Linked DNA regions of Xenopus tropicalis. The protein of the gene in region 2 interacts with the protein of the main gene of each other region in a biochemical or structural test. Links are inferred from orthologs where the notes say so. Each region holds a gene or a part of one and is shown on either strand. Other genes may lie near its edges.

The links.
Region 1: the proteins of angpt1 (region 2) and tie1 interact in a biophysical measurement, tested with the Homo sapiens proteins (2 studies listed by BioGRID and IntAct, with this or other methods). The link is inferred for Xenopus tropicalis from reciprocal best matches to the Homo sapiens genes ANGPT1 and TIE1.

What each region holds. Positions count from the first base shown.
Region 1 is NC_030680.2:88,395,873-88,399,695, reverse strand, and holds part of tie1 (tyrosine-protein kinase receptor Tie-1), read right to left. Parts: intron 3,127-3,823; coding exon 2,986-3,126; intron 1-2,985. UniProt on the Homo sapiens protein: Transmembrane tyrosine-protein kinase that may modulate TEK/TIE2 activity and contribute to the regulation of angiogenesis.
Region 2 is NC_030682.2:133,372,081-133,376,586, forward strand, and holds the start of angpt1 (angiopoietin-1), read right to left. Parts: upstream 3,108-4,506; 5' UTR 2,697-3,107; coding exon 2,382-2,696; intron 1-2,381. UniProt on the Homo sapiens protein: Binds and activates TEK/TIE2 receptor by inducing its dimerization and tyrosine phosphorylation.

The DNA.
Region 1 (3,823 bases), on a different chromosome or scaffold from region 2:
CCACTGTTTTTGCATATAAAACACTTAGGATGTTCTGAGTTATCAAATCCTACCTAGTTTAGCATTTGCCTGTTATTTTATTTGTAACCTACAGTCAATATATTTTTTTGATTCATGCATAATCACTGCTTAATGGTCATCACATTGGTGACTGAAGTAGATTCACCCATGTCCAACTTTAACTAAAGATTTCAAAAAAGGCCCTATACAGACTAAACACAAGTAAGTGGTTGTTTTTTACAGGAAGGGTAAAGATACCATCATATAATTACTAGGTTCTCTAAGCAGGCAGAATAAAAAGTCACCATAACCTTTCAAGGATTAAATGAAATAACTTCTTCACTAATTATTGTTCAGGCACTTAAAGGAAAACTAAAGTTTAACAAAGAAGTAGGCTAGAAATGCTAAACGTGCTAAATGCTAAGGGGCACATTTACTAACCCACGAACGGGCCGAATGCGTCCGATTGCGTTTTTTTCGTAATGATCGGTAATTTTGCAATTTTTTCGTCGTCTTTACGATTTTTGCGTAAAAACGCGAGTTTTTCGGCGTCTTTACGATTTTTGCGTAAAAACACGAGTTTTTCGTAGCCATTACGAAAGTAATTTTTTCGTAGCGTTAAAACTTGCGCGAAACGTCGCGTCTTTTAAGTTTTAACGCTACGAAAAAGGCGCGACTTTGCGCGCAAGTGTTAACGCTACGGAAAAATCGCGACTTTGCGCAACTTTCGTAATGGCTACGAAAAACTCGCGTTTTTACGCAAAAATCGTAAAGACGCCGAAAAAATCGCAAAAAATACGAAAAAGTCGCAAAATGTTCGTTTCCAATCGGAATTTTTCCAATTCGGATTCCAAATCGTGTCTTAGTAAATCAGCCCCTAAATGTGAGATTAGAGCTCACCACAGAAAAAAATAACCCACTTTGTACTTATTCCTATTGGATGCGCTTCTGAAAATCTCATAGGTATGCAAAGAAATTGGGTAAGATTTTCTGTGGTAAACTCTAATCTCACATTTTGATAAATCTGCCCCTATGTTTTGAGGTTCTGTACCAGCCCGAGCCAACCATAGTAGTGATGTACGGGTTGAGAAATCATCGACCCGCACCCGACCCTAACCATATCTATGGATTTAAGGCTGATGCCACACCAGGCGTAGGGCTGATTTTTTCGGCAAGCGGAAAAACGCTTGCCGAAAATTCAGCCCTACGCCTGCTACTTGTGCCTGCACCCGAATGAATGGGATACGCTCGGGTGCAGGCACATGTAGCCGATATACGCAAGAAAACACGAGACTTTGCATTCTCACGCGTTTTCGTGCGTATATCGGCTACATGTGCCTGCACCCGAGCATATCCCATTCATTCGGGTGCAGGCACAAGTAGCAGGCGTAGGGCTGAATTTTCGGCAAGCGTTTTTCCGCTTGCCGAAAAAATCAGCCCTACGCCTGGTGTGGCATCAGCCTAAGGGTATGACATAATATAATTCTTTTACATATAAATGAAGGGTGATATCCCTAAAGTGAGCACCAACCATTTGGGTTTTTCCTGCGCTACCACCATTAAAGAGATACTGACACCAGAAATGAAACCTTTTTTACATCTGTCATAACATTGTCTTTGCATGCTATTTATAATTTTGCCATAAAAGTATTTGTCCAAGCTTTTACATTACTTCTCTGATCCCCCATGTTCCTCTATGAGGGGGCGGCCATATCTGTGCAGCAGTAGGCCGTTAGCATTAGAAGCTATAACGGACAGGCTGAGAAGGGACAGTCAGACTGGCAAAACAGTCAGGTTTTGGGATTTCAAGTAACAATTACCCACAAAAGCAGCCATATCAGCAAAAAATGATCAACATGACCTATAGGTAGCTTTTTATGTAGATTCATATTTTAAAAAGTGTTTTTTTAGTGTCAGTATCACTTTAATGTGGGCATGGTCTTAAAAGCTCTTGTGATAACATGGGTGTGGTTTAAGTGGGTGCGGGTTCAGAATGGGCAGTGGTGAAAACTGGCTTCCATTATCGGCCTTCCGCCATGTGGGCCATAAAAATTCCGGCCCTTGGCACCACAGAAGTTGGACAGCACTAATCTACATCATACTAAAAGTGGATTTAATGGTGAACAACCCCAACTAGGGTACAGGAACAGGTGTGACTGTCTTTGGCCAATGGGAACATCTAAAGAAGGAAGCTAGGAGGCTAATGCTAGATTTAGAACAAATTGGTAAGAACACAGGTGATGCTAGATCTCTGGTTAAGTCCTTTGAAAAGGGAGTGTGAGAGTCCACTAGTTGTAATCTGTGTACAACTGAACCAGTTTGAATAAAAATGTATATGTTCTGTGGATATGGATGCTTCCCTGATTGAAGAATGTGAACTGTTTGTCTGTGCAAGTTTGTACAAAAGTTAAATAAAAATTGTGTGTGTGATGCAACTCCCAGCACCTGTGGTGTGGAAACCTTGGCCAGATAGGGAAACTTTTATATATGTGAGTATATCAAAGTGCTGACATGTAGATGTGGGCTCCCCATGCACCCCTCCATGATTTACAAGTAGTGTTACCACCTTGGAAAAAAATACCAGCCCACCTATGTTTTTCACCCTTTTCCCTATTGATAGTGTTAACTGTCTCTCCTATCAGCACTGCACTTTGTGTCTTTCCCTGTCCAACACAAGGCATAAAGTCTGCACATGTTGCAGGAAGGGGCCCACATACATTCTTTGTACAGAATTGAACTGAAGCTGCAGCAAATGACCCACTACCTGTGATAAAAGAATAAATAAGCTCTAATAAGTAGTGTCTTTATCAGACTCGGCTCTTTTATGCTAATTGCTGCTATGTTGCTATAGGTCACTGAACTGGAGCTTATTTGTTACAGTTTTGAGGCCATATAGTTACACCTTGCATGTAAATGTGGCCATAAAACAAGAAAGAAGTCTGAAATAAATTATGGACAAGTAACTTAAACATAAATATTTCTTACGTATCTGGCAATGTGAACCTGTCCAGCCACTGCCACAGGAGCACCCATATGGATCTGGAAGACAAAAAGTAAGCCCTTTGCAGCCCTGCTCCCCTTTGCATGTCTCCTGGCAGTTTCTGCCAAAGTTTCCTTCTCTGCAGGCTGCAAAAAAAACCAAAAACATATAAATGCAATACAAATTATGAACTACAGAAAGTGGATGTTTTTTCTGTGGTGAGCAAAACCCATGATAAATATGCTTCTAGCTTCTTAAAATTCCATAGGAATAAATAGAAAGTTTTTCTGTGGTTAAGCTAAATTGTCACACTTTGATAAATCTGCCCCTTATGTGCCCTTGCCCCCAAGGTTATGGTAAAACTTACACAATTTACATAACTTCCACAAAACTTAGGAAACTGACATAACTTGCCTAAAAATTGACTTAATGTGTGTACCAAAAGACAATGCAGAAAGCTTGACAGGGGCAGGCAAACTCCACTCACCACCAATGAACTAAAAAACTTAAAGTAAATTCCACTGCCCCCAATGAACTGACTGACTTATTAGCACATTAATTATTTATTTTAACTATTTATATGGCAAACAATAATCCACATAGAGAAATGCACACTCTTAAACACAAACTGTTTATTAAGTTACAAAATCAAAACATAATTAAACCCACATTGATTTTGTAACTTAATAAACATTTAGTTTTTAGGAGTGTGCATTCCCCAATATGGATTATTGTTTGCTATTAGGGGACTCTACATGTGCGGCCTCCCTAGGGAAAAGCACTTCTCTATATTTATTTTTGTGTGTGCTTTCTACTCTCCTTTTGTGCTTAACTATTTATATG
Region 2 (4,506 bases):
AGTGAAAAGTGGGTGCAGGGGTTTCTGCAAAGGAACTGGTATCAGAGGAATTATTTATTATAAGAGTTGGGTGATAGAACAAGGGACAGGCGGTACTTACAGCGTCTCCTCTGGTCCAATCCGTAGGCAGCAGTGGCAGCACAACAAACAAAATATGCCAAGTCAGTAGAACCCAATAACTGAGACATAACAGCAACAAACAAATGAAAGCAGATTATGAAACATATTTTAGGATGGACTTCCAAGAAATTTTCAGACCTTGGCATTCCAAATATTATACTCCGGAAACATTGCAAAAGCCACTTACCAGCAGTGAATGAACCCTCTGTCTTATAGCTTAGCCTTTAATCTCTATTGTGTTGCATCTATTAATAATGTGTATAGTTCTAGCTTTGCCATACACAGCAAGACAAGTATGTGTCAGTACAGGTATAGGACCCGTTATCCAGAATGCTTGGTACCAAGGGTATTGCGGATAAGGGGTATTTCCGTAATTTGGATCTCCATACCTTAAGTCTACTAAAAGATCAATAAAACATTAATTAAACCCAATAGGATTGTTTAGCATCCAATAAGGATTATTTAGATGGGATCTTAGATGGGATCAATTACAAGGTACAAGGAAATCAGTTTTAAAATTCTGAATTATTTGATTAAAATGAATCTATGGGAGACAAGCTTTCCGTAATTCGGAGCTTTCTGCATAACGGGTTTCCACATAAGGGATCCCATACCTGTACCACCTTATATTAGAACTGTCTATCCTGTAGCTGTTGTTCATCTACAACTGCCAGCAGGGAATCCTGGGAATTGTAGTAGAACAGCAGCTGGAGAGTTGCAGGTTTGCCTTTAATCCCATTGTGTTGCAAGTTTATGTCTTTAGGTAATATATGAAGCTCTGCTGTGGGATCTGGGTATAAATTCTAAATACAGAAGCACATTGTCACACAGGGTTAAACCCTCTCATTCCTGCTGCCTAGTGCTTCCAAGGCAAGGAATGCCTTCGAGTGATTTAAAGACACTTCCCAAACGGTTAATAAAGAACGTTCCTTGAAAGGTTAGATCAGTCACTGATTATATTAGCCAGGTATGCCCAGTGACATTTACCCCTGCATAGCTATCTGCAAATAGATGTTATAATAATCTCTCTGTACACTGGGAGCCATTGCCCTAGTCTTTCTAAAATCCCAATGAGAACAAGATAACCCTGTATCCCTCAGCAGAGAAACTTTATACCAAGTACATGAGCTGCCACGCTGATTGCAATTACGTTCTCTGTCTGTTCAGGTTTTGCATACGAAATAATGAGATGAAGTCTCCCCTCCAGGGCAAGATACATGGTCGCTGCTAATTGAACTATAAAGCGCTGCCTTCTGAATAGACATTAGACATACAGGCTAATAAAGTTGCTCCTGATTACAGTTCTCTTCTAGTTTGGGAGATTTAAAAGCATTTCACATAGGAAATAATGACATGCTGTTTTTTTTACTCCCAGGAGGAGATAGAAAGTAACCCCTAGCTGTCTCAGTGCAATGTACATGCGGCGACTCTTGATTTATTATCCTTTATTTATATAGCTCTGGCATGTACACAGCGCTTTCTATAGACTGTTTATCACTTACAGCAGCCCCTGCTCCAGTGGAGCTTACAATCTACACCAGGAGTCAGATAACCTATCTGCCTTAGGGGAAACAGGAGGACTAAGAAGAAACCCACATAGACACATACAAACTCCTGGCAGACAGTGCCCAAGTCAAACTCAAACCCAGCACCCCGGTGCTACAGGCCAGGGCATGTGTCCTACCAACTAAGCAACTGTGCCAGCCTAGCAAATACCCCCTAGTTGCCCAGCCCCCAGACTAAGGTACAAAGTAACCCCCTATGCAGACTCACAGTGCACTTTCTGGCTTTAATTAGCACAGACTGTACATGCAGTTGCCATTGACTCAGACTGCCCTGCAGAAGTTTTACCAAGCTGCCCACCCCCAGGGTTAGATACCCTTGTAACTGTACCAAGGCAGGGCCATAAAACAAAGCACTTTATTTACATTACACATTACTGTACATACAGTATATACCTACCCTTACAACTGTCAGTTCTGTATTGCCTTCCATACAACCACATGCTGCATATTAACTAGTTATGGTACCAAGTGCTGAGCTATCAGGCACCATGCTATCTAGTTCCGTTACTGTACATTTACAGTACATACATGCAACAATCACTTCTAAATACTTGGGGTTAACCATGAACAATAAAAATAAAATATGCTGACCCCCCCACTCCCTCAACCCCTATAAAAAATACATAAAGAACTCTCAGTGGTCCCATGTCCGAGGCTTCCATAACATTTGTAACAGCAAAGCAACCCGGCACTTACTTTCTGCAGCCACTGAGTGTAATTTTCCATCACCAGTTCCAGATGCTGGAGTTTCTGGGAAGAGAAATCCTGATCCATTTGCGGAGCATCCCTCTGCAGAGCATTGCTGTTGTACTGCTCCGTGGTGCTGCTGCTGCTGCTGCCCTCCTTGCAGTTGGCCTCTTGCTCAGGCAGAATGAATGTGTAGGTGCACTGGCCATGCTGGATCCGGCTGTATCTTCTCCCATTGCTGTCTGTGCCTTTCTTCTGCATGCTACATCCAACGTTAGCCATCAGGGCAGCAGCCCACCATAGGATAAAAGCCACATATACCATATCTGATGCAAAATAAAAATCCTTATGGAATGATGAAAAAACAAAAATCAGGTGAAATTGGGAGAAAAAAAGTCTGGGAAGTGAGTGCCCAGTTTTATTTCACCCCTCTGGGATATGTCTCTTTGTAGCCCCAATAGATAGACTTAGTGCATGGCAGGCTCTATTGTTTGGCTCTCATTGGCCGCCCAGAGATTAGCCAGTCCACTGCACATGCATAGCCTGGTCCCTCTCCTCTCCACTCACTGCTGGAGAACTGCTATTTTCTCCCAGAGCCCAGTGAGTTTTATTAAGACTGCACATTCAAGCCAAGCTGGAAGCAGCCTGCAGGATGACTTGACAGGAATGTGTGTGTATATAGGAGTGCTACCCGTATGCTACGCTGAGCATGGCTGCTGCTGCTGGTGGCTTGGCCAGGAAAGGGATCATTTTACAAAGTGGCTGCATGCTTGACCTCAATCAAGCATGGCTATTCTGCATAACAACTAGCAGCCCGGGACAGGCTTCAGGCAGCATTTTTGTCCTTGTCAGTTATCAGCTTTTTTTTACCTCCTTCTTCTTTATTTTCTCAATGCAGCAAATGAATGTAGGGAAAGAAGCAGGAAATTGGGAACCATTCATTTGTAGATTGTAAGCTCTTTTGGGCAGGGCCCTCTTCACCTCTTGTATCGGATATTGATTGCTTTATATGTTACTCTGTATGTCCAATGTATGTAACCCACTTATTGTACAGCGCTGCGGAATATGTTGGCGCTTTATAAATGAATGTTAATAATAATGTCACGTGAAAGAGCAACGTTAAAGAAAATGGCAGCACAGGAATGGGATCCATTCTCCGGAAACCCGAAAGTTCTGAATTGCAGGATAGCCATCTCCCATAGACTCAAATAATTCACGTTTAAAAATGATTTCTTTTTTCTCTGTAATAATAAAACAGAACAGGTATGGGATCCCTTATCCGTAAACCCATAATCCACAAAGCTCCGAATTACAGAAAGCCTGTATAGACTCCATTTTAATCAAATAATTCAGATTTTTAAAATGTATTACTTTTTTGTAATAATAAAACAGTACCTGTACTTAATCCCAACTAAGATATAATTAATCCTTATTGGGGGCAGAACAGCCCTATTGGGTTTATTTAATGGTTAAATGATTCCCTTTTCCCTGTAATAATAAAACAGTACCTGTACTTGATCCCAACTAAGATATAATTACCCCTTATTGGGGGCAGAACAGCCCTATTGGGTTTATTTAATGGTTAAATGATTCCCTTTTCTCTGTAATAATAAAACAGTACCTGTACTTGATCCCAACTAAGATATAATTACCCCTTATTGGGGGCAGAACAGCCCTATTGGGTTTATTTAATGGTTAAATGATTCCCTTTTCTCTGTAATAATAAAACAGTACCTGTACTTGATCCCAACTGAGATATAATTACCCCTTATTGGGGGCAGAACAGCCCTATTGGGTTTATTTAATGGTTAAATGATTCCCTTTTCTCTGTAATAATAAAACAGTACCTGTACTTGATCCCAACTGAGATATAATTACCCCTTATTGGGGGCAGAACAGACTAGGATAATAAAGAGTTTGAGGGAGAAGAGGAGGAATTAAAGTTTTGAGAGTCTGACGCTGCATATACTAACATTTTATTTTGGCTAGAACCTCCACTCAACATAGAAATAATGGGTCTTGATCTATTTTTTCTGCATTGGTCTCAATGGGTAAAGACACAAAGGGCAGCGATTATCACCTTATACATAGTATGTGCTAGAACCCATGGGTCAGTACTGCCTGGGACACAGTC